Linked DNA regions of Oryzias latipes. The protein of the gene in region 1 purifies or fractionates together with the protein of each later gene. This does not show direct contact. Links are inferred from orthologs where the notes say so. Each region holds a gene or a part of one and is shown in the gene's direction. Other genes may lie near its edges. The genes, in order: mta2, znf512b, parp1 and dnmt1.

Region 1 (7,864 bases):
TTGTGTGACAAAAACAATTTTCTATATATATAATGTTTTTTTATTAACTTTGCTTGCTTAGGGAATTAAGTTTAACATTTGGCGACAAAAGTAGCGGATGAATTTTCGACCCGTGACCGAGCGACTTGACATGCATCAAGATTCAGTTAGATGTGGTGCAGAGAATCCAGTAATTTTCCAAAATAAAACATCAGAATTCAGATTTGAAATAAAATGGAGAAAATAAAGGTAATATTTTTTCCTCTGCAGCCCGCTACCAACTGTCCCATACACCGGTACTGTTCTGCGGCCCGGGGATTGGGTTAAAAATACCAGCAATGATAAGAATTTAAAGATTTTCCAACATCATAGTTCAAATCTTCCCCCTCCTCAATGCTCCCTATCTTTGCAGCTTGTGACCACTGTAGAAACGCTCCGGTTCTTGTTCATCGGGCCAAAGTGTCCACTTCTCCGCTGTACCTTTTCCTCTCAAAGTCTGCTTCCTTTCATTTATCAAACAATGAGGGAAGATATGCACAGCACAGGTAAAAAAAAATCCCAACTTCCTCACGCCACCTGATTTTAAACTACTCACCATTCTCATCTTCATTGAGCCAAGATTAACCTTTGATGCCGTTTGTAACCCCATTCTCTTAAATCGAGGTCCCCAGTCCAAAATGAAAGTTTATTCTGTTTTCAGAGCGTTTCAAGTGCTCTTTTAATTATTATTGTGCCTTTTTTTCTGCCAAAATCAAAAACCTGTCGTTTTCACGGACATGGCGTGAATGCGTCAGAATGGGGCGGAGCAGGAAGCTTTTGTTACTACAAGCTTTTTCCAAACAGCATTTTATTTGTCTGCTCCTGATTCACAACAATTTGAATAAAGAGACTCAGAAATGTCGTCCATCTTTAGAAAAATGTCACAAGTGCATGTTAAAAACACAATTTTTGAGTGGGTCTTTAATAAAAAAAATTTTGCCCTCAATGAGAATCCATCCATATTCTCAAACTGCTATATCCCTTTTGGGGTCACGGGGTTGCTGGAGCCAACCCAGCTAGTGTTGTGCGAATGCGGGGTCCACCCTAAACAGGTCGCCATGCAATCTCTCACACACACCTAGGGGCAATTTGGAAACCAATTAACACATGAAGCATGTTTTTGGACAGTGGGAGGAAGCCGGAGACCCCGGAGAAAGCCCACCCATGCATGAGGAGAACATGCATGGAGGACACAGCCGGGAGTTAAAACGGGGATCTCTCTGTGTGAGTCGAGGGCGCTAACCACTGCTCCACCAGGCAGCTCTGGAGGATAATCTGTGCCTGGATTGTGTTGTCTCAGTGTTGTAGGACGCAGGTGTGTCATAGAGGAAATCCACCAATCAGCATAACACAGGCAGACACAACATCCAATGAACATACTGAGACTTATCAACAACAGATTGTAACCCCCCCCCCCCCCCCATTCAAAGAACTGGATTATTGGGGCACCTATTGACTTCTGGTTCAAGGATACAGGGTAATACATTTTGATTCCTAATACCTTAAGACACAGAGAATCCAGATGGAAAATGTGCATTTTTATGGAAGGAAAGAAACAGTAAAATTAACCTTTAATGAATTTTCACAAAAAAAAGTTTTATTGAATCTTTGGTAAAACATCTACAAAAAGTTTCAAACCTTCTTTTTACAATAGATTGAATGTAGGACAATTCCCTTATCTTTTCCCTTAGTTAAGTTAAGGGAAACATAAACCTTTAAAAAAAACAGATGCCAACTTTACAATTGTTATGAAATTACGTTCATAAGCCAATGTTGGCCAAAATACAATCACAATTTCTTTATTTTAAATAAACTTTAGAAACACGTGAAAAATGATAATAGCTTATTAATTTAATCTGAAATACAGCACTGTAATAATAAAACATCTGGATATGCTTCTTATGAGAACTAAAGGGATTCTGTATATTTAAGTAGGCAGCCAGTTTGTTCAAATGCAATAATATTACCAGAGAGTTGCCCCTGTTCTAATCCTGACTTTAATTTTGAGATGAAGTGGAATAAAAACTGTTTATTTCAACAATTGGAAACAAAATATGCACATCCAGTTGTGTCTCTGCAGTGTCCCACTTTAGTCAGCAAATAAAACAAATAAAGAACCTTTTGTTTGGAGTGAAACTGCTTTGTTATCTGGACTAGAGACCCCGGCCTTGTTTAGCAGACATCTTTGTCTTTGGTTATCTGCATTGGGAATTTCAAACCAATCAGAAGCTACAAGAGCACGGGAGTTCATAAAAAGCAATACATTGATCCTTTCTCTATTCTAAAATAACTAGATGATATTGTAGCTAAAGAATTGAGAGAAATTAAACTCCTTTGAGTCCTACACAACTTCTAAATTTGCCGTCTGTTTCCAAATTTGCCTCAAACTACGAAGTACCAAATCTTGTAGTTCCTCAAAAAGCTATTGGAGTCCAAAAGGAAGCAGTTTCTCATTGGTTCCCATGTATAAAAGTCCAATCTCACACAACATTAAATGTATATAAGGCCTGCATATGATTAAAAGACAATATATTTGTGTAAGGAAAGCTCTTTCTGTCACACTTACCCCCAGCTCATTAATAATGTACCCGTATGCCAGCTAGTTAGAACAAAGCCCAAACTGGATTAGGCCGTAACGCTAATCGCTGACTCGGATGCAACAAAAACACGTCTTCTGTGGTTAACTGTTCTCAACGTTTCTTTTTTACTCATTCTTCCTCCTCATTTTTTAATGCTTTTGTTTTTTTGTTTTTACAAACTGAGTTGGACCAAAGTACGCTTTGAAGGGTAACGACTTCTTTCTGACAGTTTTTATGTTTGGACGTCGTTGTTTTGCTTCATCAGATTTGGAACATGGGCTGTATGTACAGCTACGCTGACAGCAGCTGAGGTTCATGTTTAAAATGTTGCTGTTGTTAAAAACAAAAACTCACGTTTATATTCAAACTTGTAAAATTGGCCAAAAACACCTACTTCACAGATCCTTTAGTGTATCTATGCTTTTGATTAGTAAAACCTACATAAAGATGTATTTTATAGGATTTTTCATCTACAATGAAATACAAAGCAAAACTTCATATCAGATTTATTAATCACTGTTTTTCTACCATTTAATATTCATCTTTCTTTTGTTGTTTTTTGTTTATGGTGCTTTATGACTTTTTATGTTTACATATACCTTTTATTTCAAGAACCATAGGTTCTACTCGTGTTGATGAAAGGGGCTCTAAAAATAAAGTGATTGGTTCTCAAGGATCAAATATATAGACACCAGTTGGTCATAAAACCACATTTTCTGTTTATGTTAATTCTACTCTGGATAGCAAATCTAAGCACACATTTGCTTGGTTTCTGGCATAACATAGATGTAGATGTGGTGGGATGAAACTATTTTTGCAGCATATAGTACAATTAATGAGCAATACGGTACAATACGGCAGCCGTGGTGCAGCGGTAGGGGGGTCGATTCCCGCCTTGCACGCCCATGAGTCGATGTGTCCTTGGGCAAGACGCTGAACCCCCCCTTGCCTCTGGTGGTAGGCGGGCGCCTGTGTTCTGGACACCAGTGTGTGAATGTTGTGTGTGAATGGGTGAATGGGTCTGTGACTGTAAAGCGCTTTGGGCCTTTACTACTACCTCAATTTGAATTTACCATCAATGTAAATATTTTCAGTTAATTAAATGTAAAAGGCATGAACTCTACTCATTTTACTCAGTTTTAATAGTAGTTTTACTCATTACATTTTTTTTCAACGTTAACTCATTCCTGCTTCCACAGGTTTCCTTCTCTAAATATTACAATGTAAATGTTCGTTTTGATTTTCTGCCTATATATATATATATATTTGTGCTATTTACTGTACTGTTTTTAAAAACTTTGGTGCAAGTTTGTTATAAGTTTTGTTTCCTGTTTCAGACTATGTGTACTTTGAGAACTCCTCCAGTAACCCTTATCTGATTCGGAGAATAGAAGAACTCAATAAGGTTAGTACGCTTCTCAAACCGCATTCTAAACGTGATTCTCTGTTCTTTTAAACATTATCGTTGTGTTTGAAAGCTTCTTCATGATACTGCCAAGTGCCAACATGATCAGGTCTAAACCTACGTGTTTGGTGCAATATCAGCTTGCTACTTCAAATTTGTCACTATGGTTTTTTGTACGGGTTCGAACAAGAAAGGCGGCAGACCTATAAAATGTATTATATCATTATATGAAGCGTCTGAGTGTCTTCTGAAAACCGTCTTTTTTTATTCCAGGTTTAGTATTTGTTTCTTTTCAAGAGAGCTCAGGAATAGTTCTGCTGAAATCATGTCAGGTTTCTAGTCATTGAACGTTGCTGAAGAGGTGTGATATGAGGCGACCACCATCTTTTTCTGTTGGTGTGTGACATGGATGTTTTCTCTTTCTTGCTCTTCCAAACGATCCATCATTCATTCTGTGTTTTGTTTTTTGCTTTCCACTTTGCTGTTCTTACACATTTTGACAAAAGTCACAATAGTTACGAAAGAGTTTGGCTTAAGGGGGTGTGGTGGAAATGTGTTGTATAAAAACTGGCCTACACACATGCATGCATGTGTGCGATAGGACATCTTGCATTTTATCTGGTTGGATTTAACATTAGGTGTAAAAACTTTAGTGTAAAAACAGTATAAACATTCTGATTGTGTTTATATGTGTGATGTCAGAATCAGAACGCAGAGAGAATGCTCCCATAAGGTTTAAAGTGAGCCCAAGTGTGAGTCTTTGGACTTGTGCTTGTGTGAAAAGTATCAAACACAAAGAAAACTCAACATTTGTGTTCTTGGGTACAAGATCATATGATAACTGGATAAGTTCCTATGTTTGTTTTGTTTTTTGCACCAAGGATCTGGTACTTCATGATGGATCAGACCTAAATTGTTTTATTCCTTACATACAGACGGCCAATGGGAACGTTGAAGCAAAAGTGGTGTGTCTGTTCAGAAGACGAGACATCTCAGGCAACCTCAATACTCTGGCTGACAGTAATGCAAGTGAGTACCGATGGTTCCAGCAAAACAAGCTGCATGCCCTTTGAAAATGTTCCAGGTTTAAAACGGTGTTGGGGAAAGTCGCACTAATATCAGACACAACTTTACATGTGTTCCTGAAGCCGATGTGGATCGTTGCTGTTTGATATTTTAGTATACTTATAGCAACTTTAGGGCTTTAGAACAATCTACGTTTCCATCTCATCAGTAGCTACGGTGGGCCAAGTGTCCTACCAACAGGACACCAGATGCTTCTCCACCTCCAGCACCAGCCGGAAACACCAGGCATGCATGCAGCGAGCCGTACAGAGCTGTCTAAGGCAGATGTGTTTGTTTTTACAGGAGAGTTTGAGGAAGAGTCCAACCAGCCCAGCCTGGCGGAACAGCAGAAGCACCAGCTCAAACACAGGGAACTCTTCCTGTCCCGACAGTTTGAATCCCTACCTGCCACTCACATACGGTGCATGCTTGATACCAGAACTCTTGATGAAGTGTGTGTGTGTGTGTGTGTGTGTGTGTGTGCACACTTGTGCAGAGTTTTGTGTGTAGATAAATGGCTATAATTTACGTTGCTATAAAGGAGTATAATGCAGTCATATTTAGTATTTTCAGTTTTTTTTTTCTATTTCATTGCTGTGTTTAATGTTTATTGTATTTGTCAAGCGAGTAGAGACAACGGTTTACTATAGAGGTAAACTATTTTTCTAGTGTAGCGTTAACAACAGTCTGTCAGTTACTTGTGTTGTGATCTTTTCATTTGATTTGAGAATCCAAAAAAAACTAGACTAATTATATTATAATCATTATTTTGCTTTAACATTCAGATGACATGAAGTCAGTTTAATTGTAAATAAGTGAAACGCTGTTTGATGATTTTCCAATCAAAACTCAGGACATATTTGAACATTTTGTATTTTTAATACTGATCTTGTGGTTTTAGTGGCAGGTTTTTCTTTCAAAGATTTTTTAAAAATTTGCACATTTTAAAGTTTTTGCTTTATCTGTCAGTAAATTCAGCCGTAAGTATTAAAGAGGATGTGCGACCAAGCCTGGAATGCAGTTACCGGTATCTTCACTAGAATTAACTTTCTTCATTTGTTGACTGTGGAGCACAGAAAGAATCCACTTGGAAAATGTTGTTATTCTTGGAAATGAACCGTTTTCTATTTCTTCCGTTTTCCTATCAGTTCTAATATTTGTGTATTTATTTACTGTCTCTTTAGAGGAAAATGTAACGTGACGCTTCTCAATGAAACTGATGTCCTGGCTGGTTACTTGGAGAAAGAAGTAAGAACCTGTGTGATTGTCATGATCTCATTCATTATATGTTTAGTCTCCAATCAATGGAGCCTCGGCCCATTTGACGGAGAGCATAGACAGGCTGCATGTGTGAGACGAACCCGAATCCTTTCAGCTGATGTGCCGATGTCTTGTGTCCAGGACTGCTTCTTCTACTCGTTGGTGTTTGACCCAGTACAGAAGACGCTGTTGGCAGACCAGGGGGAAATTCGTGTAGGCTCCAAATACCAGGCAGAGATTCCCGACATGCTAGCTGAAGGTTAGCAGGCCACCAAAACCTCACGACTGTTGACTCTAGTCAGCACATTTTCAGTAAACACGACTCTCAGAATTCAATACGGCTGTTCTTCATTTCAGATGAAACGGATAGCCGAGTCCAGGAGAAGCTAGAGACTAAGGTGTGGGACCCCGACAACCAGCTCAAAGACCCACAGATTGACCAGTTCTTGGTAGTTGCCAGGTAATGAACCATTTGACTCACAGGGACACCAGTATTTATAAAACTCTTCTATGTCTTTGTTAGAGAAAACACAGAAACTGCTACCATTTTAGTTGTTGCTAATTGCATTCTTTGGTTTATCTTTTATTTGTTTCGTTCTATGAGTCTGAACTGAGAGTTTGCAACTGTGATAAGACAGAAATGTCACCACTGTACACATCCAAGACATTAGAAAGGCCATGACCAGGAGTATTATGTACACCATGTCATTCATGATAACAGATACGTTTTGGTGGCTGACTGTCATTCTGAAGCAGATTGGTTAAATTAAAAAACTAGGTGTTGTTTTGTGATGCTCTGCATAGTTTGACTTAATGTCTTTTTTTATATTTGGAGAGGTTTCCTCCACATATTAGCTAATTCAAAAACAGGATGACTAAGTTTAAAAGCAAACAGTTGTATTTAGCTTTTATAATGAAGAGGTTCAAAGTAAGTCTTGTCATTTCCTTATCTTAAGACTTTTGAACCTCATATTATGTCAGTATTTCTCCTTAAAAAGCTTCATAACTTATAATCAGTACTTAATGACTGTGCACATGTTCATGATACTTTTTCATTGTTTGTGTTTCTCTTACACAACTCTTGTGAAGCTAGAAAAGAATAATTTCTAAACCATTATTGGAAAACAGGCCATTAATGATGCCATAAACTAGGGCTGCACAATATGAGGAAAACTCACCATATTAGTAACAATATTGCGATAACTTGGAATACATGAACAAACACCAAAACCACCAAAACACAATTTCCATTTGACCCTCGTCTCCATAGGAGGCGAACATCCTGCATTAAAAGGCTCCATCTGATTGGTCAAATGCATAAATGGATTTATTTGAGTCGTTAAATCCTTCCAGCTGCCATAAGATGGTTTTAGCACATTTAGGATAACCATTTATTGCAATTTTCGCCATCTTTTGCGATATGCGTATTGCACAGCTTGATCTTGCAATAACGATAAATATGGGATTTATTGTGGAGGCCTACCAGAAATGTAAAAAAATATATATATTTATCATCGGCCACAAACAGACCTGAGTA
Region 2 (7,864 bases), on another chromosome or scaffold:
TAACCTCTGGAGTAAACGCATGAAAATGATTCCAGCGAGATCCCTCGGTGAGAGCAGACTATCAAGTGCATTGCACCTCTTTCTCTTCCCTTGGTGCCCCACCATCTGTTGTTCTGGTCTTGGCTGCGCATGGCAACAGGCGACACACAAGTGAAAACAGCAGTTTGACAGTTGTCATAAACATGCCTTTAGTAAGCCTCACCGTGACAATCACTTAATGATCTCGGCAAAGCGTGAACACCAGAGATGGAAAACACATTTTTATAGTTTTAAATTCACAACAGAGTGGGAGGTGTTGTTGTGGGACAAAATGATGTGACAGTGGGCTTATTTCCTCCTCAGCCCTCAGGGAGCGAAGACCAGACCAGCAACGAGAATGAGGAGAGAGAAAGGCTGCGACGAGTGCTCAAACAGATGGGACGAATCAAGTGTCCTAGTGAGGTATGCACTTTTTTTGTCATCCTTTTCTCTTTTCTCGTCTCCTATGTTTTTGTGACCTCCGTTCACTTTTGTTTTCTTCAAATTTTTCCATTGGCATCACATATTTTACCTGCCATCTTTAATTTGGCTGCTCCGTTTTCCTTAAACTGCATCGCTCTATTCGCATTACTCACACCGGAGAGACCAAAGGAGAGAAGGAGCTAAAAAAAATCAACTCTAAAGGGATGTTTGCCCACTCTTCCCATCTTTTAAACGGCAGAACTCCTGTTGCTGTTTCTCTGCATTGCTGCTTAAAATTGTTTTCATTCTGCATCATTCTTAGGGGTGTTCGGCCCACTTTTCAAGTCTAATGGGCTATCAGTATCACCAACAGCGTTGTGGAAGAGAGTTTTCTGATGAAGAGCAGCTTGCTTTTCTCTGTCAGCACTGTGGAAAGAATTACCGCTCCAAGGCAGGCAGGGACTACCACGTACGCACGGAACACTCGCCGAGCATCACAACGGTGACAGCCACAGCCACCAATGACAGGAAGGACAGCCTGACTGACACCAACAACAGTAACGGCAAGGACAGGGTGAGATCATCTCAGCAAGGAACCAGTGTTTCCTAAATTCTATTACAGTTGACTACTCATTGAAGTGTCGTGCCATTCTGATATTTCTTGTTGTCTCTTCAGGTGTTGTCAGAGGATTTTCCAGCAGCAGTAAGAAAAAGGGAACCAAGCGAGGCGGAGAGGAAGGACAGGCAGGAAAAAACCCCACTTCTCCAGCCCAAGGAGAAGGAGCAAGTAAAGGTAAAGGAGAAGGAGCAGAGCAAAGAAAAAGCAGCACAAACTCTGATCCAGGAAGAAGACTTTGAAAGGACTCCTAGTGGAAGAGTAAGGCGGCGGTCAGCACAGGTAGCAGTGTTCCACCTGCAGGAGATAGCAGAGGACGAGCTGGCGAAAGACTGGGGCACAAAGCGCCGCATTAAGGATGACCTGGTGCCTGACAGCAAGAGGGTAAGCATGGAGTTGGTGGTTCACAATTCCTAAATGTAACGACTGAAGGCAAAAAGACATACCCAATAAACAGTTCAGAATAGAATAGAATACAACTTTCTTGATCCAACAACAGGGAAATTATATAAATGTGAACATTGTCTCTAAAAAAAAGCATCTTTAGAAAAACCTTGTAGTCATGTGGTGCTAACAGAATCTTCTTCTTTTTACAGCTAAACTACACTCGACCCGGTCTGCCCAGCTTCAGCCCAGAACTTCTAGAGTCCTGGAAGAACCAAGTCAAGGAAAAAGGCTTCATCTGCTGCTCAAATGCCGTGAGAGCATCTTCATGATTTAGATTTAGGTTTAGATTTAGATTTAGATTAAGATTTGAAGTAAGATTTAGATTTGGATTTAGATTTAGATTTAGATTTAGATTTAGAATAATATTTGGATCAAGATTCAGATATGGATTTATTTGAAGCAGAAACAACAGAATAAAAAATACATTCATTTCCAAACAAAAAAAGACTAAATAAAGATATGCAGATTATATGAACTTCAAAACAGCATTTTCATTACAATCATACTGACTAAGAAAATTGAGTATACTTTAAGTATTAAAAACTTTCTCTCCGTTTCAGCTTGAAAGGGGGTGGGCAGAAGAAACCTTATATAATCCCACCCCTGTCCAGTTATCATTCTATCCCCATTAGGTTGCTACTTACAGTTTATAGTTTTTGAGTAGAATATGCACAATATTTATACACATGCCCACACTGTACATTTTAACAAGCACTACATGTTCGTAAACGCTAGGGCTCCTATAGAAATGCAGACTTGAGTTGATTTCCTCTTGTTTATGTCACCTGTCTCAGAACTGTGAAGCAGTTTATTCCAGTGTGTCCGGGTTGAAGGCTCACCTTGCCAACTGCAGCCAGGTACACGCCCACAACTACAGCAAATCTATCAGCCAGCTTACAGATTTCCATGGTGACACTTTGTATCATTCACAATCTGCGCACAAACAGTTTGCCACTGACATGTATATTTTTAAGCCTGAAGTTTTTTTCTAGGTTTGGATTTTGTATGCTGCTGTCATTTTAGCAATTATATTTAAGCCTCTACAAATAGCAACTCTATTTTTAATGTATCTCTATTTTGCAAGTTTTAATAGATAAAAACATAAAAAAGGAAAAATTCTTTAAAAAATGTTTTTTTAGCTATCTTTCAGTCATGTGTATTTTCCTTATTGAATTTGAGAGGAATATGAGCAGATGTCAGAACACCTCCATACTTTTGGTGTTTTCCAGGGTGCCGGTGAGATGGGCAAGTACACCTGTCTGATCTGTCAGAAGGAGTTTAGCTCAGAGAGTGGTGTCAAGTACCACATAAGTAAAACACACTCACAGGTGGGTCCCCCCCCCCCCCCCCCCATTAGTGGAAACCTCATAGCCATAAAACAGGCACCGATGTCTTCCATTACACAAACTATTTTTCCATCATCCTTTGCTGAGTGAACACGTCTGCATTGAAATGGTTGCTTTTGTTTTTATTGAAAGTGATTGAAAGGGTTTGGTTGGACATGCTTTAAACACAGCTTAAGTGAGATCATCTTAATGTCATCTATCGGAAAAAGCATACTCAGTTGTGTTTGTGTCTAACTTTATAGTGTTTATTTAAAAAAGAAGTAACAGATTATGTAATTGAATAAAAAAAAAGCACAAAACATATGTTCTTCATTTATTCATTCATGTATTTATTTATTTGTGGGTCAAAGAAGTTAGACCACATAACACCACAACGCTGCCATTGCAATACTTGCTTTTTGTTAAAATGTTGCTCCTTACTTTTAAGTCCCTGGCAGGTACGGCACCATCTTACCTCTCCAGTCTGCTTTTAAAATATTCCCCCCTAAAGTCCTTATGTTCCACCGACCAGTTTGTGTTAATGGTTCCCAGAACCAAATGCAAGTTTTGGGGGAACCGAGCATTTGCTGGGTTGCCTCCTAAACTATGGAATGATTCCATAGTTCCAAACTCTCCAAGGCAATTGTTCCTCCATTTTAGCGCTTTAGCATCAGCCTAGTCCTAGTTTTAATCTCTTTTAAATTGGTTTTATGCTTTATATTCTTTTCTATTTATGTCTCTACTATGTTTTTAATTTGCTTGTTTAATTTGCTGTTAATTCTTTTATGCTTTGTTCTCCATGTGTACAGCACTTTGGGTCTCCTTGGCTGGCGGTGGAAGGTGCTTTATAAATAAATAAATGAATGAATGAATGTTTTTACTACGGGTAATTTCATTTCTGAGCAATTTGTTATAGTAAGTCGTTATTCTGGGGTTTTTGTATCATTAACAATGTTGATAAAGCAGTACAAATAGTAAATTTATTAATAATATAGCACAGAGTGAGATACTAATAGAAGTACTGAAGTGTTCTGTAGCTCTTCTAGAATCAAATTGGAAAAAATGTCACTATTGGCTGAACGCTCTGACCTAAAAGTGTGAGGAAGCCACTGCTGTCAGCTGGCTTTTTACTAAACAGTGCTGTGAAAAAGGTGTAAACTTTACTAGTTCATCATTTCCTAAACTAGTTATCTTGTGAAAACCCAAACATAAAGAATGAAAATCAAGTTTTTTGAAAAAAAATGATCAAATATAATTGATAACGCATATTCTACAATTTTTCCTTTATACAAAGTTTTTCTTTGAAATGCTAACTTATAATGCAACACACAAGCTTCTGGTTTAAATGTATTATCTTTAGAGTGACTTTTTTCTGTAGGATTTACATCATCATCATTTTCAATATATTATTCTGATTAATGTCTTCCTTTTAAGAGTGTTCAAACACGTTTTTATAATATTTTAATGATCTCATCGTGCATTGAATTCTTTCTCTTCCCTCTAAGAACTGGTTTCGTACTGCAGCCAACCATGTGGTGTCTGGTAACAAGAGCAAAGTGGAGGAAAATAATGGGATCAGAGCTGAAGTGAGGAACGGTGCCACCACTGGTAAGAAGAGAGGGCGCAAACCTAAAGAGCGCCCCAGTGTGGACGCTCCTCCACAAACAGATATCGAAGCACTTACTCAGAATACTGTCCTAACTGTGGCCCCTCCCTCTGGACCAGCACAGTCCTCCGCCTTGGTTCCCAACTGTACGGACGGTGACTACCCATGCCACAACAGACAGCCTGTCCCCTCAGCCCCCAGACGAAGCAAACCTAAAAGGCCCTTTTTTGAGTAGTTCTGGAGCCAGCGAGGAGCTTCAAACATTGCAAATGACGGGAAACCTCTCGAACTCCACAGAAACTCTGGGCTTAAGAAGAAACTCAAACCCACCAATAAGAAAGAAACAAATGTTAGTCCTTAAATTCTAATTCAAGACTCCGGATTTCGTGTTTGCACTGGTATGAACAATATTCACAAAGGTTTTTTCCTCCATTCCACTATTGTCTCCTTTCTAAGGCTTTCAGTTTTTATTTTTGTTTTCCCAGCAGGGGGGGTAATCGCAAATCAAATCCAGAACTTAAACATGCTAGTTTTTTGTTTTGTTATTTTTAACAATCATAGTTCTCTATATTAAAGAAGACACAAGTTTTCTCTGTGAGATACATGTTGTGCTTGAGAGGTTTTTAAAAATAGAAATTTTATCAGCATGAAGAAGCCATTTATCGAAAGCTAGTGTTGTCACAGATAGACTTGTCTGTGTACATAAACAGTAAATATATCTTTGTGTATATTTAAAGCAAATATTCATTTTTCATTTTCAAGTTGAGCAGATTCAGTTTGCAGTCTAAAGTTTTTTATGGGCGTAAGTGACATTTTGTTCCTTGTTTCTTCTTTTAACCTGCTTATCTATTTGGGTTAACATGTTGGCCAGTTTTAAATCACGGTTCACTCTTTAAAACTACTTTGACAGGACGAATAAGATTGTCTGCCTTACAGATTGTTTCCTCAGATCTTTTTTATTGAAACTAACAAACTGAATCCCCCCCAAAAAACGATTCAAAACTCTTAAATATATACATTTTTTAAGTTATGCTTAATGCAATATTTTAAACAGAATCTCCGTCTATATTTGGCCCAGGAAAGGTAAATATTAGACAAAGGGAAGAACTTTGTGTGAAACTTATCTAAGACTATTGCAGCACAATCACATCATGTGACACCACTTTAAATAGGGCCAAGCTTTGGCAACTGCTTTAGCTTACATCTAAGCTGAAGAGAGGATTTTAAAATATATATATATCTTTTATAGAGCATTTGAGAAAAATACATCTTTATTAAAGAAAAAGAAAAAAAACTTCTGATTAAAATTCACAGAAAGTAATGCATATGCATGAGTTCCTGGAAGCTCAAAGTTATTGCCTTGCACTTTAACACTCGAGCTTTCATGCTTGCCTTTTTGCACTCCAAGAATATACAACTGAAGTGCAGGAATGGGAATATTTTTTAACTCCAATGAAAGCTGGAGTTAGGGGAAAAAAAATCAGCACAGTTAACACTTTGAGTCCAGGATGACAGTAACATTTACAACATCAGAAAGCCATAACTGGTTGTTAGTGTGCTGCCACTAACTGTTAGATTAGCCTCAGATTTGCTTTAAAAAAATTGAAAAAAGTTAAATACATTTTATGACGTGGAATATTTTCACTTGGTAATGGTAAACTACTTCATTTTGTAGTTGAAATTATAATAGAAATTCCATAAGAATTTAATATATTATTGTTTGTATCAATTCAAAAATACTAAGTATAAGACTTAAATCTGGACTCTTTAAATAAAAAAAACTGTGGTGTGGGGATATTCTGGTGAAAATATAAAGGTGCTTTACTAGCCTTTCTACCTTAAAGACCTGAAACAACTCACGCACATCCACCAATCCATTTTGCCATGTTCTTCGTGTTTGCAAGTTGTCTGAATTTTGCACCAAAACGTCATGTCATCATGAAAACAGTGAAGAACTGAACTGTTTAGGTGTTCCTAAAACCACAAGGAGCTGATAGTCAGAAGACAGTGAAGAAACATTTTGTTTTAAAAGTAATTTTGAGTCCTTCCTAAGCTGTAAACTTTTAAAACATAAACCAGAGATCCAGTATGATTTTTTTTTCTTCCTAATATGAGGATGGAGTTCATCCAGTCGGGAATGGCTGTGCACTTGTTTAGGGATGGACCTTTATCTTCTGTGGAGTTTCAGCTGAGGAAGCATCATTCAGACGAGCACTGATTGGTCTGTGGACCTGTTCAAAATGAGTCGTTGGAACCTTCTGTGCGTTTGTGAGTATGTGTGTGTATCTCAGACAGTTAGCACCTTTGTAATGGGTGAATGTTAAAATGGTGACACTTGTTAAGTGTTAAGCTGTAGCACAGAATCACTTCATTAGCTGCTTATTTCTTGTCTCATCGATGGCGTCACATTAACCTGGTTTACCTAAAAAGCTTTGGTGTTGCAATATGATAGTTTAGCACTGCTTTAACAGTGAGTATTTTATATTTTATCACTCCCTTTACTATCTGTCTTCCTATTAAGTGGAGAACGCATACCTATTCCGCAGTGTGAACTAACTGCAACATGTTTAGAGAGTACAGCAATACACCATATTTAGCTGTTTTTGTTGGCTTGCTACAATTTTGATATTGATGTGTCTTCTCAGACCTGTATGGCTTTTTTTTATTACTCTCCTACTTTAACTTTTATTGCTTTGAAAAATGCTTTTTACAAGTTAAAATTCTACAGAAATATTGGGGGGAAAAAGTTTGTAGATTTCAAAGAACCTTGCAAGCCCATGTGTTGGCATACACTGTTATTTGATCCATTTTTGGTGATGCACATAAATTGAGCTTTTTTTCATTTCAGGATGGTGGTCACAGATTCTTTTCTCAATATCTATTGAATATTGGACAACAAGGCATATGTATGTGTGTTTGTTTCTGTATTTAGTGCACTTATTATAACATGAAATAGGCTTGAAATAGGAGTGTCGTTGGAGCTTTCTAGTTACCTGGACTGTGTGTGGTGTGACTTTTGTACCTGGGGAAACAGGAAGCTCAAATGTCTTCCCAATGTCAGCAATGTTATTTCCAAAACCAAGGTTTAATCCTTAGCAACCCCCTTAGACAACCTAAGAATTTTAACCTTTTATTTAAATAACAGTGGTTTGTTTTGTATGCTACCTACTTGAAAAGCAGGAGATGACATCCAGCTATTGTGGTGAAACCTTTGAGAGTTTTACGAGATGTTATTGCAGCTCTAAACTATTTATGATACATAGAAGATACAATGAGACTAATTATGTAATAAAGATATTCCAAATCTGATATCAAGCTGTACAGTATCTAACATTGAGGAATCACATCCTCCTATGCGTCTGAACTGTTACAAATTTTTCCCAAACTTGTTGTATTATCTGTGCATTATTATTCCTCAACTAATTAATA
Region 3 (8,398 bases), on another chromosome or scaffold:
AGAGGACTCATCCAGGCAGGGCTGTTCCTGCATGTTTACAGGGTGGATCAAATCCTCCAAGGATCTTGCAGAGTTTATTCCAGGTTTTGTCCATCAACCCAACGAGTTAGGAGAAGAACATGTTGGAAAAGTCTATTTCTAAACTTACCAAGAGGAGATTGGAAATGGAACGTTTCCTAGAATGGGCCTTTCTCTTCCACTGACTTCTTGTGAAGTACAGCAAATATTAGGGGGATCTCTGCTTTTTCTAGCTTTCTTGTTGCCATTTTTACAGTAAAACAAAAGCCAACATGTCTTTTTTCATATCTTGTATTGCAAGGTATATCAAACATTTGAGCCAAAAACTAGAATACCTCTAAAAAACAGCTAAATCACACTCTATAGTTCAGGGTTCTGCAACCTTTAGCGCTCAAAGAGCCATTTGTTACAGTTTCTAACAGCCATAAACCCAGCAAGAGCTGCAAAGTCACACTCTACTGTTTAGAAAAATGTTCTAAATTTATATTTTTGCGGTCATTAAGTCATTTGTTTATTTATTCATAAAATGTAGCTTTGAAACATTTACAATTATTGAATTATAACAGTGTTATATTACCATTGCACAGACAAGTTCCTTTCAAAATAAAATGTATCCTGTGTCAAATAAGACCCTGCTGCAGCGATTATACTTTAATACATTTGTCTCTGAAAGACAACTAGGCTTAAGAAAAGAATGTGAGTTTGAACTTATTCTAAAAAGAAACCACTCTGACATAAATCAGATCTTTTACTATTTAATTGCTTGTATTTGACATGTTTGCATTATGGAGTGAACGTGTCAAGGGCTCTTGATTTAGTATAACGTAGTGGTTAAAACGTACATTTTTCTCATCTAAGTTCACCTCAGTTTAAAAATCTAAAAATAAATGACCAACAACCCTATTATTTCTTCAAAATGTTAGCATTTTTCTTCAAAGCAAAAGAACCACAATGAAGGGATAAAAGAGCAGCATGTGGCTCTGGAGCCACAGGTTGCAGACCCCTGTTCTATTTCATCACACATGAGTTGGTTTTTGTCTGTATCTTCCATACGAACTCTATAAATGCAACCGTGTTGGTGTTTTAGACATCATGTGCTGTTCATTTTACATGTATACCATGCTTTTATACATTTTTTACAGAAATGTTTAATTGTATGATTGCCGTCCATCAAATAAACACATTTTCTGTCTGTTTTTGATACTTAAAATAATTTAAAAAACGATTTAATACTTATTGCATTCTACTTTTATCACACTAGTCATACAATTTAAGTTTTATTGGTTAAACGTACCCATTACATGGAATGGAAACCTATAATTTTGAAAGTGAAGGATTTACTTTCTTTTCAGACTGCAAGGATCGACTTCTCTTCATTCGATTGTTTTAGACTGAAGCGAGCGCGGGTACTCTGTGAGGTATCCAAATATCGTCTATTGTGAAAAATGGATCGCTTGACATTTTTTTATGAAACATTTCAAGTTTGAATACTTTTTGTTGAACATATTTTAGAGGAGTGTTGTTTATGCGGTTGAGTGGCTCCTGAGGAATGACCAAGAGGACAAATAAATATACATAAATAATAATATTTCGTTTTTGTTTTTTTAAATAAATTTATAAATAAATATATTTCAGTTGATCAAATCTTAAGTTCTTTCTTTAATTCTTCCAATCGACAAAACTGAACAAAAAAATTACCATTGTTCTAAAAAACATCTAAGGATAATAATACGAAAACAATAGCCTAGCTCTTCTTATTAAGGTCAGACTTAAAAACATAAACATACAGAAGAAGTTGCATTATGAAGAAAAACTTGTAACAAAAAGTAGAAGTATACATGCACACAAAAAATGTAATATTTGATTTATTTCCACGATTGACAGTTTATTCCAACAGTTATAGGATAATAATTATGTTGTCCATCTGATTTTTTTCAATGAAAAAAGTGATTTACATACCAAGAGATCTTCACAAAATCATATTTCTTCTTGTACGTCTTACTTTTTTGTCTAATTTACTTTAAACTATTTACTTTCTGAAAATTAGATATATAGATATGGATGGATGGATGGATGGATGGATGGATGGATGGATGGATAGATAGATAGATAGATAGATAGATAGATAGATAGATAGATAGATAGATAGATAGATAGATAGATAGATAGATAGATAGATAGATAGATAGATAGATAGATAGATAGATAGATAGATAGATAGATAGATAGATAGATAGATAGATAGATAGATAGATAGATAGATAGATAGATAGATAGATAGATAGATAGATAGATAGATAGATAGATAGATAGATAGGTAGATAGATAGGTAGATAGATAAAAGAAAACGAAAGAAAAGGTAGAATGGTAGTAAGTAAATGAAAGCAGAAAGAAAAGAAGCTTCCTGCAGAAAAGCCAATTGTCATTTTCTTTTAATGATGTCCAAGGAATATCAGAAGCCGGCTGTTTTCTAAATTTCTAAATAAGAGCTTGTGAGTATGGATAACTTAAACAATAAATATGATTTTCATAACAACAACAAAAAACATAAACTTCCATTCTACAGGCTCTGCATGCAAAGATGTTTTGAAAGATATGCTGAAGGAATGGAAGTATGTAACCCCGTTTCTTAGGTTCGGTTAGCTGTGATTTCTGTAGCTATCTGGATAAATATGCCCGCATCTATCAGATATTTGTGGACATGCGCCCAGGTTCAGCGTCCATTGGCAACTAACGCTTGTATCGGAGGTTTGACAAAAAAGAGTCAGAGTAAGCCCTCTTTACTGGATCTTGCTCGCTGCTCTTCGCGTTGTCCCTGTTGTTGCTCCTCGTGCTCTGGTGGAGAAACTTTGTCGTCTTCGGTTCAGCTTTTTAAGGATAAAGGGAAGCTATGGCCGACTCCCAGAATGACAAGCTGTTCCGAGCAGAGTACGCCAAAAGCGGCCAGGCTTCGTGCAAGAAATGCAAGGAGAAAATCGCGAAGGACTCGCTGAGGATGGCCATCGTGGTGCAGGTAAGCAGCGGCGGTCCAAGGAAACACCCGGGAGCGGAATTATTCCTACAGACTCACTTGTTTACCAAGCAGCTTCAGCAGATGTAAAAAAAAAATAAAAGTGTGTTTTTGAAAATGTGATATATAGGCCTGAGTAGTTCCGGTTTCGTCTGGACTGGTTTGGGCCCTCGTTAGCATTTATGGCTGCTAAATCTTCCGCACAAAGAGCCGCAGAGATGCTCCAAATAAATGCACTTTCCGGCATTCAAGCAGAAATGTGAGGAAAAATCACTGCTGCCTCTCAGTCTGACTCAGTCTTGGTGATTCTATCGCTTGTCTTTCGGGGGAACGTGTACCGCTCACTACTTTCTTTACTTCATTCGCTTTTTCCTTTTATTTATTCATTTAGTATTTTGTCTACCACAGGCTTCCGTTTCAGCAGATGGATTTGAAATACTAAACTTTGCATAATTAATTATTATTCTACAAGCAATTAATGCAAGTAGAATTTATATTTTTGGAAAAATACGTTGACATTCAAGTAAATTAATATGCAGGTAAAAAAATTATTATCTATAATCCAGTAAATTGTATAAAACTAATTTCTAATGCAAATTTAAAAATTAGGATGAAAAATGTAAATATCAATCACAGGTATTTATAAAAAAAAAATAGATCATATCTAGACTGATTGCTTTTATTGTCAAAAATTTTATATCAAAAGCACAGAGTAAAAATTGGCACCAACTAAACTTTAAAAAAAAAAAAATATATATATATATATATATATATATATATATTTAAATCATTTGTATTCAGATTTATATTTGTAAATTTCCCATCCTTCAGACTGATCAATTGATGGTTATTGATATTATTAAATAAACAGTTAAAATGTTTAATTTAAGGCGAGCAATTTAAATCTAAACGTAAGGAATAAAATGTAAAAATAATAATTAAACACATATATAAACAAAACTTTTATTACAGTTTGTATTTGTTTGTGGAATTAGAAAGATGTTCAAGTTTTTATTTGAAGGTATTTTTTATGATTTAAATAAAAACAAAATTGCGCTTTTGTTTTGGCGAGTCACTACAGCTAAAATGTTAAAGATAATTTGAAAAGCCTCTTATTTTTCTTAAACTGTACAGAAAAATTGAGAAAAGTCATTTTTAAAAGGAGCAGGACATGGCGACAATAGTACAATTATTTTTTTCAAAGGGTTAGTTTTTTCCTCCCATTTCACCTTCAAAAAATATTACGGTATTGCTAAATTATTTTACATCCTTTACTCGTCTCATAAAAATGTTTTTTGTCTGTTCTTTGTTCAACTTTTCAACTATCTTGTTCAATTCACCACCAAACTACACTGGAGCTTTCAGATGATCTGATATGAGCAGCAAACCCATCATTTTTTTCCAGAATCATCCAAACCCGGCAGATACAGACAGACTGAAAACTATAACTCTGCAGCTGAATGTGTTCACGCCTATGTTTACTCTGTGTCCCGCAGTCCCCCATGTTCGACGGGAAGGTCCCTCACTGGCATCACTTCTCCTGCTTCTGGCAGCGAGCCTCGGTGCAGTCCACGGCCGATGTCGGCGGGTTTTCGGATCTCCGCTGGGCGGACCAGGAAGCTGTCAAAAAAGCCATAGAAAGTGGTGGAGTGGCCGGAACAGGTCTGTGCTTGTCTGAGCTGTTTGTGCACACGGGAAATGAATTGACGTTTATCAGCGTGGTGAATGTTAGTCATCGGAAAGTCGCTTTTGTTTACTTTTTGTAGGTTGTTGAAAATTCTGACTTAAAGCACAGCGGGGTAAATTGAGGTCTCCATCTTGCAGGAAAGGGAAACTCTGGTGGTGCGGCTAAAGGAGAAAAGACGCTGAACGACTTTGCGGTGGAGTACGCCAAATCAAACCGCAGCACGTGCAAAGGATGTCAGCAGAAAATAGAAAAGGTTTGCTGCAGCTTCGTTTAAACAGTTCATTAACGGAAAGCACGCCTGTGACCTCTGACCTCTCCTCCAGGATCAGATTCGTGTGTCTAAGAAAGTGGTGGATGCAGAGAAGCCTCAGCTGGGCCTGATCGACCGCTGGTACCACACTGCATGTTTTGTGAGCCGCAGAGAGGAGCTGGCTTTCAAACCTGATTACAGCGCTGCTCAGCTGAAGGGATTCAATGTGCTGCGGGCAGAAGACAAGGAGGAGCTGAAGAAGAGGCTTCCTGCTGTAAAAACTGAGGGGTGAGGAGTAACAAAAACTATATATATATATATATATATATATATATATATATATATATATATATATATATATATATATATATATATATATATATATATATATATAAAAGTTTGACTAAGAGCTTTGACTCAGCTCTCACAGACTTGGTTTGGTCTAGAAGTTCTCTCATCTCCTCTGTTGTTTCCACTTAAAATCTCTGCCTCTCCCATCGACCTGCAGCACAGAAAAATGGCCTTAAAGGCGTCCCTGAAAGCCGTCATGGTGTATGCATACAGGAAGGGGTTCACAGCAGAGTTGGCGTGGGACAGGATGATGGTGGTGAGCAGCAGCTCCAGCGGAACGGGGCACTTTGGGCAAAGCAGGAGGAAGCAGTTGATCACATGGAGCGGAATCCAGCAGATTGTGAAGAGAAAAAGAACGAGGAAGAGCGACGTGGCCATCTTCATCTCCTTGCGCATGGTGGCTGCCGTCCTGCCCTGTCGCTCCCATCCTTCACCTTTCTCAGTCGCGATGCGCCTCATCTGCTGCTTCACCGTGAGGAAGATCTGGGCGTAGATGAGGAACATGATGAGCAGAGGTGCGAGCACGCAAGCGAAGAAGTTGAAGTAGACCATGTAGGTCATGTCCACCACCAGGACGAAGAAGCAGTAGCTGGAATCTGGCGGTCTCTTGTGCCAGCCCATCAGGGGGACCAAGCCGATGAGGGAGGCCAGCAGCCACGTGCCGAGGATCACCATCAGGGCGTTCCGAGGCGTCATCAGGACGCCGTAACGCAGCGGCATGAAGATGGCGACATAACGCTCCACAGCCACTGCCAGCAGGCTGAAGATGGAGCTCTGGGTGAACATTATCAGCACGCTGAGCATTAGCAGACACAGGTAGAAGTTGTAGCGCGGTAGACCGACGTCGGTCAGGATGGCACAGGGAATGGCAATGGTTCCCACACAGATGTCTGCTACCGCCAGCGAGACCAAGAAGTAGTTGGTGACGGTGCGAAGCTTACGGTTGAGACCCACAGCAGCACAGACCAGGAGGTTCCCCAAGGTGGAGCACAAGGCGATCACGAGCTCGGCCACCATGTATGGCACATTTGGGTGCATCACCGGGTCAGCTGGTGGCGCAGAAGGGGAGGAGGTGGTGGCGGAGAGCCGGTTGGTGAAGTTGCGGGGATACTGAAAAAAGAACTGAAGCCAGGAGTTGCTGGTTTGTTGGAAAACAATAAGTGGCACAGTTTCATTCTCCATAGCTCTCCTGCAAAAGAGCAAATTTCAGATGTAAAATTCATGTTAACATCCAAACGTCTCACCAATCTGCTCCACAGACCTATCAAGGATTCATCATCAACCCCCCCCACCCAGAAAACCAGACACCCCTCTGTCCTTTACTTCATGTCAGCCGTTGTCTTGATGCTTTGTCCTCCAGATGGTCATTTATGGTATGGAGGTGTCACAGGAGCTGCTCTGGCCCCCGGCCCCTGGGAGCGTTCAGACGTGTACCAGCTTGCTTGTTTGTGTCCGTTTGCTGCAGAGACCCTCACGAGTCTACTCCATGAAGAAAGGTGTCACACGCAGGCTTGTTTGTTCCTCATCATGGCCGTCACCTTCATCCCTGTGCGCCTTATTTGGGTTCCTAATGGGATGTTTTCTCATCATCTTGTTTGGCTTGGTCGAAAAACGAATGGACTGGTTTAGGGCAGCAACCTGGGAGGTAACTTCTTATTTAGGCAAAACACCTGACTCATTCACACAGACGAGACTCTTAACTTCCTGATGAAGCTGAAGTAGGTTCACGTCCCACAGAATCTACTGGTCAGGTTCTACCAGACCCCAGCTGGTACCCTTTTTTCGTCAAAAATGATTCTGCAACAGAAAAACTGGATCTTCTCTTCTTATCAACCTTGGTTCTATTACTTCAGGAGTTTAAAGATTCCACTCAATGATTCAACCCCCTGAAGAAGTGGAAAGCCAAAAAAAAAAACAGGATGAAGTTGGGTTCTGGCTCCAAACTGGGAGCCAGAACCCAGAACAGTTTTCCACCGTTCTGTAAATGGAGGTCCAGGACACTGTCAGACTACAAAATAGTTTCACCTGCAGGGGAGAAATGCCTCACTCTTTATGCTTTCTATTTCTTTTTTCTTAGTATTTTTTGTTCTGTAACTATGATAATAATTACATTTGCAGAAAACGTCCAGGCGACGAGTTGGACGGAGTTTCAAAGAAGCTGAAGCAAGAAGAGGAGGAAGAGAATAAACAGTTGGTGGAGAATTTAAAGGTGCTTTTTTTATGTTCAAGATTAATTTTGTTTGTTTTCTTGTTAATAGATTGATTGTGTTGTTGTGGTTGCAGAATCAAAGTCAGCTAATTTGGGGGATTAAGGACAAACTCAGGAAATACTGTTCAACCAACGACATGAAGGAGCTGCTGATTGCAAACGGTCAGGAAGTTCCTTCTGGGGAGTCCAACGTAAGAAAAAGTCACAAATGAAGAATCCTATGCTGCTTAAGCCAAAGTCTCTGGTGACTCACTGCCGGTTTTGAACTCAGGTGGTCGACAGAGTGGCTGACGGTATGGCCTTCGGGGCTCTGGAGGCCTGTAACGAGTGCCAAGGTCAACTGGTGTTTAAAGGGGATGCGTATTACTGCACAGGAGACATCTCAGCCTGGACTAAGTGCGTGTTCAAAACTGCAACACCCCTGCGCAAAGACTGGATCATCCCGAAGGTGTGTCCCTCACGTGAGCCTGCATGGATCTCTAGGGCCGTGGATCGTTACTCAGGTGGCGATCCGATTCACGATTCAAGAGAAACGATTCAGAGATTGAACCACAATTCTTACTATTTAGTTATTAAAATTAAATAATATTAATTATTTAATTTCATACGATTTATGATACAATAAGATATATGATAAAAAAACTATCATACATCTTTATACTGCATGTATGAAAAATAAAATAATGTGTATTTAAACATCATCTTTTATACCTTTTTATTTGAACAGATCAGAATCAACAATAAAAAATTCAAATTGTCAACTATATTATCCTTTTTTTTCAGAACGTAATTTAGTAAACTGAACTTTGGTCTCATTTTTTTTATCTACAAAACACTCTATACCTTTACTTTAAAAAATAGAATTTTAATCGC
Region 4 (7,864 bases), on another chromosome or scaffold:
TACCTCTGTTGGTTGGCTGCTTGCTGATTTCTTGTTTGTTTTTCATTTTTAGGAGGTATACATATCAAAAGTAAAGGCCTTATTGGGAAAGGAACTTCATCTGGAGAATGACTTGGAAGTTGGAAAAACAAATGGCTTCTCAAACGGCTCTCATGAAGATGAGCAGGATGAAGAAGCCATGGGCACAGATGATGTCAAATCACCGCCTCCTTCCAAAGGGAAGGCTGGACGCAGGAGCAAGTCCAATGGTGATTCAAAAAGTAGGCCTTTTTTTTTTTTTTTAATTATGCAGTCATGGGTTTTAAAAAATCAGTGTGTTAAAATATAAAATCATCCACTTCTAGAGTCTCCAGCAAGTGCAAGAGTCACCAGGAATAGTGGGAAACAGCCAACTATCTTGTCAATGTTCTCCAAAGTGTGCGTATAAGTTTTATATGTATATATGCATAATTGGAAGCTCCATTTATTCAAAAAAAGTGGTAATGTATAAATATTACATTTGTTTTGCAGTCAAAAGCGCAAGTCTGAGGAAATGAGTGAAGAAAGTGTCAATGGAAAAGATGAAGTGAAGAAAGAGGAGGATGTCGAAGAGGTGCATATTAAGAGGCATCTTTGTGGCCTTCATTGTCTAATATAATTGAGTGTTTTATTGTTTTGCATTGTAGTCTCAAGAGAAGAAGCGCCTCAAAGTGGAATCTGATGAAAAGTAACTCATTTTTCCTGATCTTTTTGTGTTGACTTTTTGATGTCGGATAAACTGATTTACGCTTCTCCTGCTGTAGTTCTGCTGCAGAAGATTGTAAGAATGACACAACCAAGCCAGTATCTGCTGCAAAGGTATTTAATCGATAGAACTGCTCTTTTATGTCTTTTGTTTTTCCAACATCTGTGATTCCAAACACACAAACTATTTATACATTTTTTTTTATACATTTTTTTGTTGTCTTTCTAGACCCCACCTCCCAAATGTCAAGATTGCCGACAGTTTTTGGATGACTCAGATCTGAAGTTCTTTCAAGGAGATCCTGATAATGCTGTGAGAATTTCCTACCCATTTAATATATAGTGGGTGCACACACATTTTTATTTTGCCTTATGGGTTTCTTTCCCTTTTTCAGCTTGATGAACCTGAGATGTTAACAGATGAGCGTCTCTCCCTCTTTGACTCAAACGAGGATGGGTTTGAGAGCTACGATGATCTGCCACAGCACAGAATCACAAATTTCAGGTTTGCAGTTGTTTAAGTGTTACAATGACGCCAGAGATATTTACAATGTTTGCACCACATTCTCCTTTTCTTAGCTTTATTGTTAATTTTTTCATGAATAATGGCATATTTTACCTTTCAGCGTGTATGATAAACGCGGTCATCTGTGTCCGTTTGACTCCGGACTGATTGAGAAGAACGTGGAGCTTTACTTCAGCTGTGCCGTTAAACCCATCTACGATGACAATCCTTGCTTGGATGGTAAGAAATGCTTCAGTTCAAGCACTGATAAAAGATTTTATTTTGTTTCTATTGTTGCTTTATCCATCTTCTTTTGATGCAAAATCAGGTGGAGTTCCTGCAAAGAAGCTTGGGCCGATCAACGCCTGGTGGATCACTGGGTTTGATGGAGGAGAAAAGGCTCTAATTGGTTTCACAACAGGTAACGCAGTTGTTTTCACGTCTAAAGTTTAATTTCCAGTGTTTCTCAGACTAATGTCAACTCTCTCTGTGCAGCGTTTGCGGATTACATCTTGATGCAGCCCAGCGAGGAGTATGCCCCCATTTTCGCACTGATGCAGGAAAAGATCTATATGAGCAAGATAGTGGTAGAATTCCTCCAGAAAAACCCAGATGTTACTTATGAAGACCTCCTCAACAAAATTGAGGTGGTGTTTTTCAGTTAAAGTTTTTCTTTTTAACACCCCCCCCCCCCCCCCCCCCCCCTTATCAAATGTGAATCTTGACAGACTATCTTCTTTTTCTACTTTCAGACAACAGTTCCTCCTGCAGGACTAAACTTCAACTGTTTCACTGAAGACACTCTGCTGCGCCACGCCCAGTTTGTGGTGGAACAGGTGGAGAGCTACGACGAGGCTGGCGACTCGGATGAGCAGCCCATCATCGTCACTCCCTGCATGAGAGACCTCATCAAACTCGCAGGAGTCACTCTGGGGAAAAGGTACAGTTAATACATTCAGACGCTTGTAAATAAATTTATATTTAAGAATTTTTAAGTTCATAATTAAGTGACATCACCTCAAAGTTAAAAAGAAAAAAGGGTCTCTCCTTTTGGTGGGATACTTAATTGCCCGACTATTGTATAATAAAGTAGAACAGTTTGGGATTATGACCATGTATCCTTAAAAACACTTAATTGTATTTAGATTGAACCCTTTTTAAATTTTATTTTTTAATTTTCTGCACGTCAGTCTTTGTCTCCCTGATGTCTAACATGTTTTTAACACTTCCTAATGCAGCACGCTGCTGTACTGGTAGGTGGTTCTTGCTGTGATTGCATCTTTATTCTGCTATGTGGTGTTTTTCTGTCAAACATTTAGAAAGTGAACAGAGTTCACACTGAGACACATACATGGTTTTTAAACTATTTTCATTTTCAGTTATTTTGATTTATATTGTGGTCTTTCAGTGTGATTTGCTTTTGTAAAGTTTTGTTGGAATAGTTTGGGATGAAACAAAATTATTTTAAGTCAAAGGTCAGAAATGTAAAAAAAAATGAAACTATCATGAAACTTGAAGAAAATGTTTCTTAAGAACTTCCTTTCTTTTTTTATCTTTTATGTTTATTTGTGTTTTGAGGTAAATTAATAGGCCTAGAGTTGGCTTTATTTTCAAGGTAATAGAGTAATTTTTAAAAAAAAGTCTTTCCAAAATAAAATTATTTCACGTTTTATACTTTCAAAATTTTAAAAGCCGTGAATTATCACTAGATTTATTTCTCTGACAAATTTTCCGAGGTAAAGAGTTTCAAAGAAAAAAAATCCTGTTTAAGTGTTAATATTTCATCTTTAAAGTTTTTTTCCATAGTTCTCCAAAGGTCAAAGGTTAAGTTTTGTTTGCTTGTACTGCTGCATGGCCTGATGCTGTGGTGTGTTTACGGCCAGGAGCTTCTTAGTTCCATCCCTCACCATACGATCCTGTGTTTGTGCTGCTCCAAAACCCGCCTCTCCTCTAAACGCTGACTCTGTTTTGTTGATAGGAGAGCTGCCAGAAGACAAGCCATCCGTCACCCGACGAAGATCGAGAAGGACAGCAAAGGACCGACGAAGGCAACAACCACTAAACTGGTCTACCAGATCTTCGATGCCTTCTTCTCTGACCAGATAGAGCAGAACGATAAAGAGAGTGCGCTCAAAAGGCAGCGTTGTGGCGTTTGTGAAGTGAGTTGGTTATTGTGTTCTTTGGTTTGTTTGTTTTTTGTGAAGTTACAACTCCAAATCTAACAAACTGGAATCTTTTTAGGTTTGCCAGTCTCCTGATTGCGGCAAATGTACCGCCTGCAAAGATATGATCAAGTTTGGAGGAAGCGGTCGAAGCAAGCAAGCCTGTAAACAGAGAAGGTGAGGATGTCTGAGGATCTCTTTGTGGGAAGTCCAAGTCATCACAAACGTTTTGATGGGAAAAAAGTTCTGGTTCAGTTTAACTTTGCCGTATATGCCGCTACAATCATTGCTGCAGGATAAATATTTTTTTTTACAGAAATCCTCGTGTCTCTTCTGCTTCAACTCTTCATACTTTTGTTGTGGTTGCGACAGAGAAATCCGATCTATTAAACTCTCTGATGGCCTTCTTTTCATGCTGTTTAGATGCCCTAATCTTGCTGTAAAAGAGGCTGAAGATGATGAGATTGTTGAGGAAGATGTTTTGGTAGAAAAGGCAAAGAAGGACGCCAACACCAAGAAGAAGAAACAAACTCAGTGCAAGCTTGCATGGATCGGAGAGCCTATACTGGTATGTCTTTTAGTTTTTTTGATTGATTTACTTAAGCCACAAATGTAACTGACAATGATCTGTTTGGCTTTAGTCGGAGGGGAAGAAACACTACTACAAGAAAGTGTCCGTCAATGATGAGGTTTTGGAAGTGGGAGACTGCGTTTCGGTTTTATCTGATGATCCATCCGTTCCTCTGTATCTGGCCAGGTACAAGAAAGAAAAGGTGTACTTTGGTGATGTTTTGTTTTACAGAGGAGTAACCTCCGTTCGTGTATTGTCTCTCAGGATCACTTCAATGTGGGAGGGTTCCCACGGGAAGACCTTCCATGCTCACTGGTTCCTTCGAGGGATTCACACAGCGCTCGGAGAATCCTCTGATCCACTGGAGCTCGTCGTCGTGGATGAATGCGAGGACATGCTGCTCAGTTATGTCCATGAAAAAGTGAACGTTATGTACAAAGCTCCCTCCAACAACTGGTTCATGGAGGTCAGTGGATCAAAGCTGATCAAAAGTTTCCAGATTCATGCTGTCATTTTCAGAAACGTTCACATGTGACGTTTAACGTTTTAGGGTGGAATGGATGTTGACCTCAAGGTGGTTGAGGATGATGGGAAGAGTTTTTTCTACCAGTTTTGGTATGACACAGAGTTTGCCCGATTTGAGACTCCTCCCAAGACTTCAGAACCAGAGGACTGCAAGTACAGGTGACTGATGTTCTGATGTTTGTGATGTTCTTTCTTTGATGCGATGGCTAAACTTGACTCTTCCTCTTCTTTTCTTTTACCTTCAGGTTCTGTGGCAGCTGTGCTCGCATTAAAGAGAGAGCAGAGCAGGAAGTGCCTCAAGCACTCGAACCTCTAGAGAATGAAAGCGGCGACACAAAGGTTCTGTATGCGCTGGCTTGCTTCAAAGGCGAGCAGTTTAAAATTGGAGATGGAGTTTACCTGCCTCCTGACTCCTTCAGTTTCAAGTGAGTGTTGTGTATTTCAAATGGTTTTCTTATGTACAGGGCACAAAATTAAATTGGATTATTGTTTTCCACCTTATATTTTCTGCGTTTAGTATGAAGCCTGCTAGCCCAGTGAAGCGCTCCCACAGGAAGGAGGACGTGGATGAAGATCTGTATCCCGAGTACTACCGGAAGTCCTCAGACTACATCAAAGGGTCAAACCTGGATGCTCCGGAGCCTTTCCGTGTCGGCCGCATCAAGGAGATCTTCTGTCATCGCCGTAGCAACGGAAAATCTGACACTGCAGACGTCAAACTGACACTTTACAAGTTCTACAGGTAGGAAAAGGAATTGAAAATCTGTTACTGAAATTTTTTTTATATAGATATATGTATTAAAGAAATAAACTACTGTTTTTTTTGTTTTTCCTCACCCCCCAGACCAGAAAACACTCACAAAGGTGTTAAAGCGAGTTACCATGCTGACATTAACCAGCTCTACTGGAGTGATGAAGAAGTGACTGTCCGCATGTCTGAAGTTCTGGGCCGCTGTCAAATAGAATATGCAGAAGACCTGATTGAATCGGTCCAAGACTATTCCAGCGGTGGACCAGACCGCTTCTATTTTCTGGAGGTACCGTTAGGATTACTTTTTGTACCATAATTCAAGAACTTGCTGTTCAGCTTCTTTATAGGTGACTGGTTGTATGATTGTGTACGCAGGTGAAAATGGAACCAATGTTTAATGTTTGTTTCCCTCACAGGCCTACAATGCAAGGTCTAAAAGCTTTGAGGATCCTCCAAATCACGCCCGGTCTGCAGTTCATAAAGGAAAAGGAAAGGGCAAAGGAAAAGGTTGGTTTGAACTCTGACATGTAGAAATGAATCACCTCTGAGATCACTGAAACCTGGTCTCTATCCCATCAGGAAAAGGCAAAGGGAAGGCTTCACAGGAACAGCAGGACTCCAACGTTGGCCCACAGATGCCTAAAGTTCCAAAATATCGCACCCTTGATGTTTTCTCTGGCTGTGGGGGCCTGTCCGAGGGTTTCCATCAAGCCGGTAATAAATCCATGTCAGAATGTTTGGGGGTCTGGAATGTCTTTTTTTTTCGTTTTCTGATCAATTATGCAAAAAATTAGCTTTGTATTTAAGTAAGCAGTGAATCTTTTGGAAAATGGAGGACTTCATGTGTGGAATAAAACACACAGTTGTTTATTTTGCAGTGCATTGCTCAGACTCAATCTGCTGCTTTCAGGCATCTCGGAGTCACTGTGGGCCATCGAGATGTGGGAGCCGGCAGCTCAGGCCTTCAGGCTCAACAACCCCGGCACCACAGTCTTCACAGAGGACTGCAACGTCCTGCTGAAGCTGGTCATGTCCGGGGAGAAGACCAATTCTCTGGGTCAGAAGCTGCCGCAGAAGGGAGACGTGGAGATGCTTTGTGGGGGGCCTCCATGTCAAGGCTTCAGTGGAATGAATCGCTTCAACTCTCGCACTTACTCCAAGTTCAAGAACTCGCTTGTGGTTTCCTATCTGAGGTATTTCTTGTCAGGATGTTGTTGCTGTTTTACAGTTGAACTGACTGTTAAAATGATTTTATTTGCCCCCCCCCCCCCCCCCCCCCCCTAGTTACTGTGATTACTACAGACCCAAGTTCTTCTTGCTGGAGAATGTGAGGAACTTTGTTTCCTTCAAGAACTCCATGGTTCTGAAGCTGACTCTGCGCTGCCTTGTGCGGATGGGCTACCAGTGTACCTTTGGTGTTCTTCAGGTGAGACTGACCTTCAGACTGCGGCCTAGACTGTTCCTACGGGTCTTCTGCATGTGTGAAGCTCTTATACTGCACCTAAGCACGAGTCCCTGAGGTGACGTTTGTTCTGCTCCTCAGGCGGGTCAGTATGGCGTTGCCCAAACACGCCGCAGAGCTATCATCCTGGCTGCTGCTCCAGGAGAGAAGCTGCCTCGCTACCCTGAACCGCTGCACGTGTTTGCGCCCAGAGCCTGCTCTCTGAGCGTGGTGGTGGATGAAAAGAGATACGTCAGTAATGTTACCCGGTAAAGAAAACCCTATAAAATAAAACAGTGAAGCTGTCTGCTTCACTGACTTCAGATGAAAGAAAAATATGTCTAACACTTCTGGGATTATTTTTGTTTTTAACATCAGAGGTAACGGGGGCATCTACAGAACCATCACAGTCAGAGACAGCATGTCCGACCTCCCCGAGATTCGCAATGGTGCATCTGCCCTGGAGATTTCCTACAACGGGGAGCCTCAGTCTTGGTTTCAGAGACAGATCAGAGGCACGCAGTATCAGCCCATTCTCAGGGATCATATCTGCAAGGTAAGTTTACCTGATGCTCTTCAAAAATACCTAAATGATGCATAACGTGTGTGTAGATGTACCAAAGAGCATCTGTCTGTCTGTTTGAAGGACATGAGCGCTCTGGTTGAGGGTCGGATGCGTCACATTCCCTTGGCTCCAGGCTCTGATTGGAGAGATCTGCCCAACATTGAGGTTCGCCTCAAAGATGGCACCATGACCAAGAAGCTGCGCTACACCCACACTGACAAGAAGAATGGCCGCAGCAGCACCGGCGCCCTCAGAGGCGTCTGTACTTGTGCCGGAGGTGAGCAGCACTTTTTTCAGGATGTCCTGAAATCATCTCCAGTGTGACTCTGACCCGCTCTGTGTGTCGTTTTAGGGAAGCCTTGTGATCCCGCAGACCGGCAGTTCAACACTCTGATCCCCTGGTGTCTGCCCCACACCGGGAACCGCCACAACCACTGGGCCGGGCTTTATGGCAGACTGGAGTGGGATGGGTTTTTCAGCACGACTGTCACCAACCCCGAACCCATGGGCAAGCAGGTGCAGAGACTTTGCTTTTCTGTATTACTTTAAAAAGAGCAATCATAAGCAGAAGAGTGATGATCAGAGTAATCAAAAATTAGAATATAAAAGTAGTCCATTATT

What was found.
Region 2: the proteins of mta2 (region 1) and znf512b purify together in Homo sapiens (affinity purification with mass spectrometry; 3 studies listed by BioGRID and IntAct, with this or other methods). This does not show direct contact. The link is inferred for Oryzias latipes from reciprocal best matches to the Homo sapiens genes MTA2 and ZNF512B.
Region 3: the proteins of mta2 (region 1) and parp1 purify together in Homo sapiens (affinity purification with mass spectrometry; 3 studies listed by BioGRID and IntAct, with this or other methods). This does not show direct contact. The link is inferred for Oryzias latipes from reciprocal best matches to the Homo sapiens genes MTA2 and PARP1.
Region 4: the proteins of mta2 (region 1) and dnmt1 purify together in Homo sapiens (affinity purification with western blotting; 3 studies listed by BioGRID and IntAct, with this or other methods). This does not show direct contact. The link is inferred for Oryzias latipes from reciprocal best matches to the Homo sapiens genes MTA2 and DNMT1.

What each region holds. Positions count from the first base shown.
Region 1 is NC_019876.2:29,082,444-29,090,307, forward strand, and holds part of mta2 (metastasis-associated protein MTA2), read left to right. Parts: intron 1-3,934; coding exon 3,935-4,002; intron 4,003-4,937; coding exon 4,938-5,031; intron 5,032-5,370; coding exon 5,371-5,488; intron 5,489-6,251; coding exon 6,252-6,315; intron 6,316-6,468; coding exon 6,469-6,586; intron 6,587-6,684; coding exon 6,685-6,787; intron 6,788-7,864. UniProt on the Homo sapiens protein: May function as a transcriptional coregulator. Acts as a component of the histone deacetylase NuRD complex which participates in the remodeling of chromatin.
Region 2 is NC_019865.2:15,570,430-15,578,293, forward strand, and holds part of znf512b (zinc finger protein 512B), read left to right. Parts: intron 1-342; coding exon 343-441; intron 442-763; coding exon 764-1,015; intron 1,016-1,117; coding exon 1,118-1,441; intron 1,442-1,653; coding exon 1,654-1,755; intron 1,756-2,298; coding exon 2,299-2,361; intron 2,362-2,733; coding exon 2,734-2,832; intron 2,833-4,334; coding exon 4,335-4,670; 3' UTR 4,671-7,864. UniProt on the Homo sapiens protein: Involved in transcriptional regulation by repressing gene expression. Associates with the nucleosome remodeling and histone deacetylase (NuRD) complex, which promotes transcriptional repression by histone deacetylation and nucleosome remodeling.
Region 3 is NC_019882.2:7,702,806-7,711,203, forward strand, and holds the start of parp1 (poly [ADP-ribose] polymerase 1), read left to right. Parts: upstream 1-2,798; 5' UTR 2,799-2,908; coding exon 2,909-3,031; intron 3,032-4,524; coding exon 4,525-4,690; intron 4,691-4,852; coding exon 4,853-4,968; intron 4,969-5,038; coding exon 5,039-5,253; intron 5,254-7,434; coding exon 7,435-7,525; intron 7,526-7,599; coding exon 7,600-7,716; intron 7,717-7,796; coding exon 7,797-7,973; intron 7,974-8,398. UniProt on the Homo sapiens protein: Poly-ADP-ribosyltransferase that mediates poly-ADP-ribosylation of proteins and plays a key role in DNA repair.
Region 4 is NC_019866.2:8,446,294-8,454,157, forward strand, and holds part of dnmt1 (DNA (cytosine-5)-methyltransferase 1), read left to right. Parts: intron 1-52; coding exon 53-260; intron 261-344; coding exon 345-417; intron 418-510; coding exon 511-592; intron 593-665; coding exon 666-706; intron 707-782; coding exon 783-837; intron 838-952; coding exon 953-1,036; intron 1,037-1,118; coding exon 1,119-1,228; intron 1,229-1,349; coding exon 1,350-1,468; intron 1,469-1,556; coding exon 1,557-1,649; intron 1,650-1,723; coding exon 1,724-1,875; intron 1,876-1,980; coding exon 1,981-2,168; intron 2,169-2,466; coding exon 2,467-2,481; intron 2,482-3,206; coding exon 3,207-3,387; intron 3,388-3,469; coding exon 3,470-3,567; intron 3,568-3,813; coding exon 3,814-3,958; intron 3,959-4,031; coding exon 4,032-4,147; intron 4,148-4,225; coding exon 4,226-4,427; intron 4,428-4,511; coding exon 4,512-4,645; intron 4,646-4,731; coding exon 4,732-4,911; intron 4,912-5,003; coding exon 5,004-5,228; and 19 more. UniProt on the Homo sapiens protein: Methylates CpG residues. Preferentially methylates hemimethylated DNA. Associates with DNA replication sites in S phase maintaining the methylation pattern in the newly synthesized strand, that is essential for epigenetic inheritance.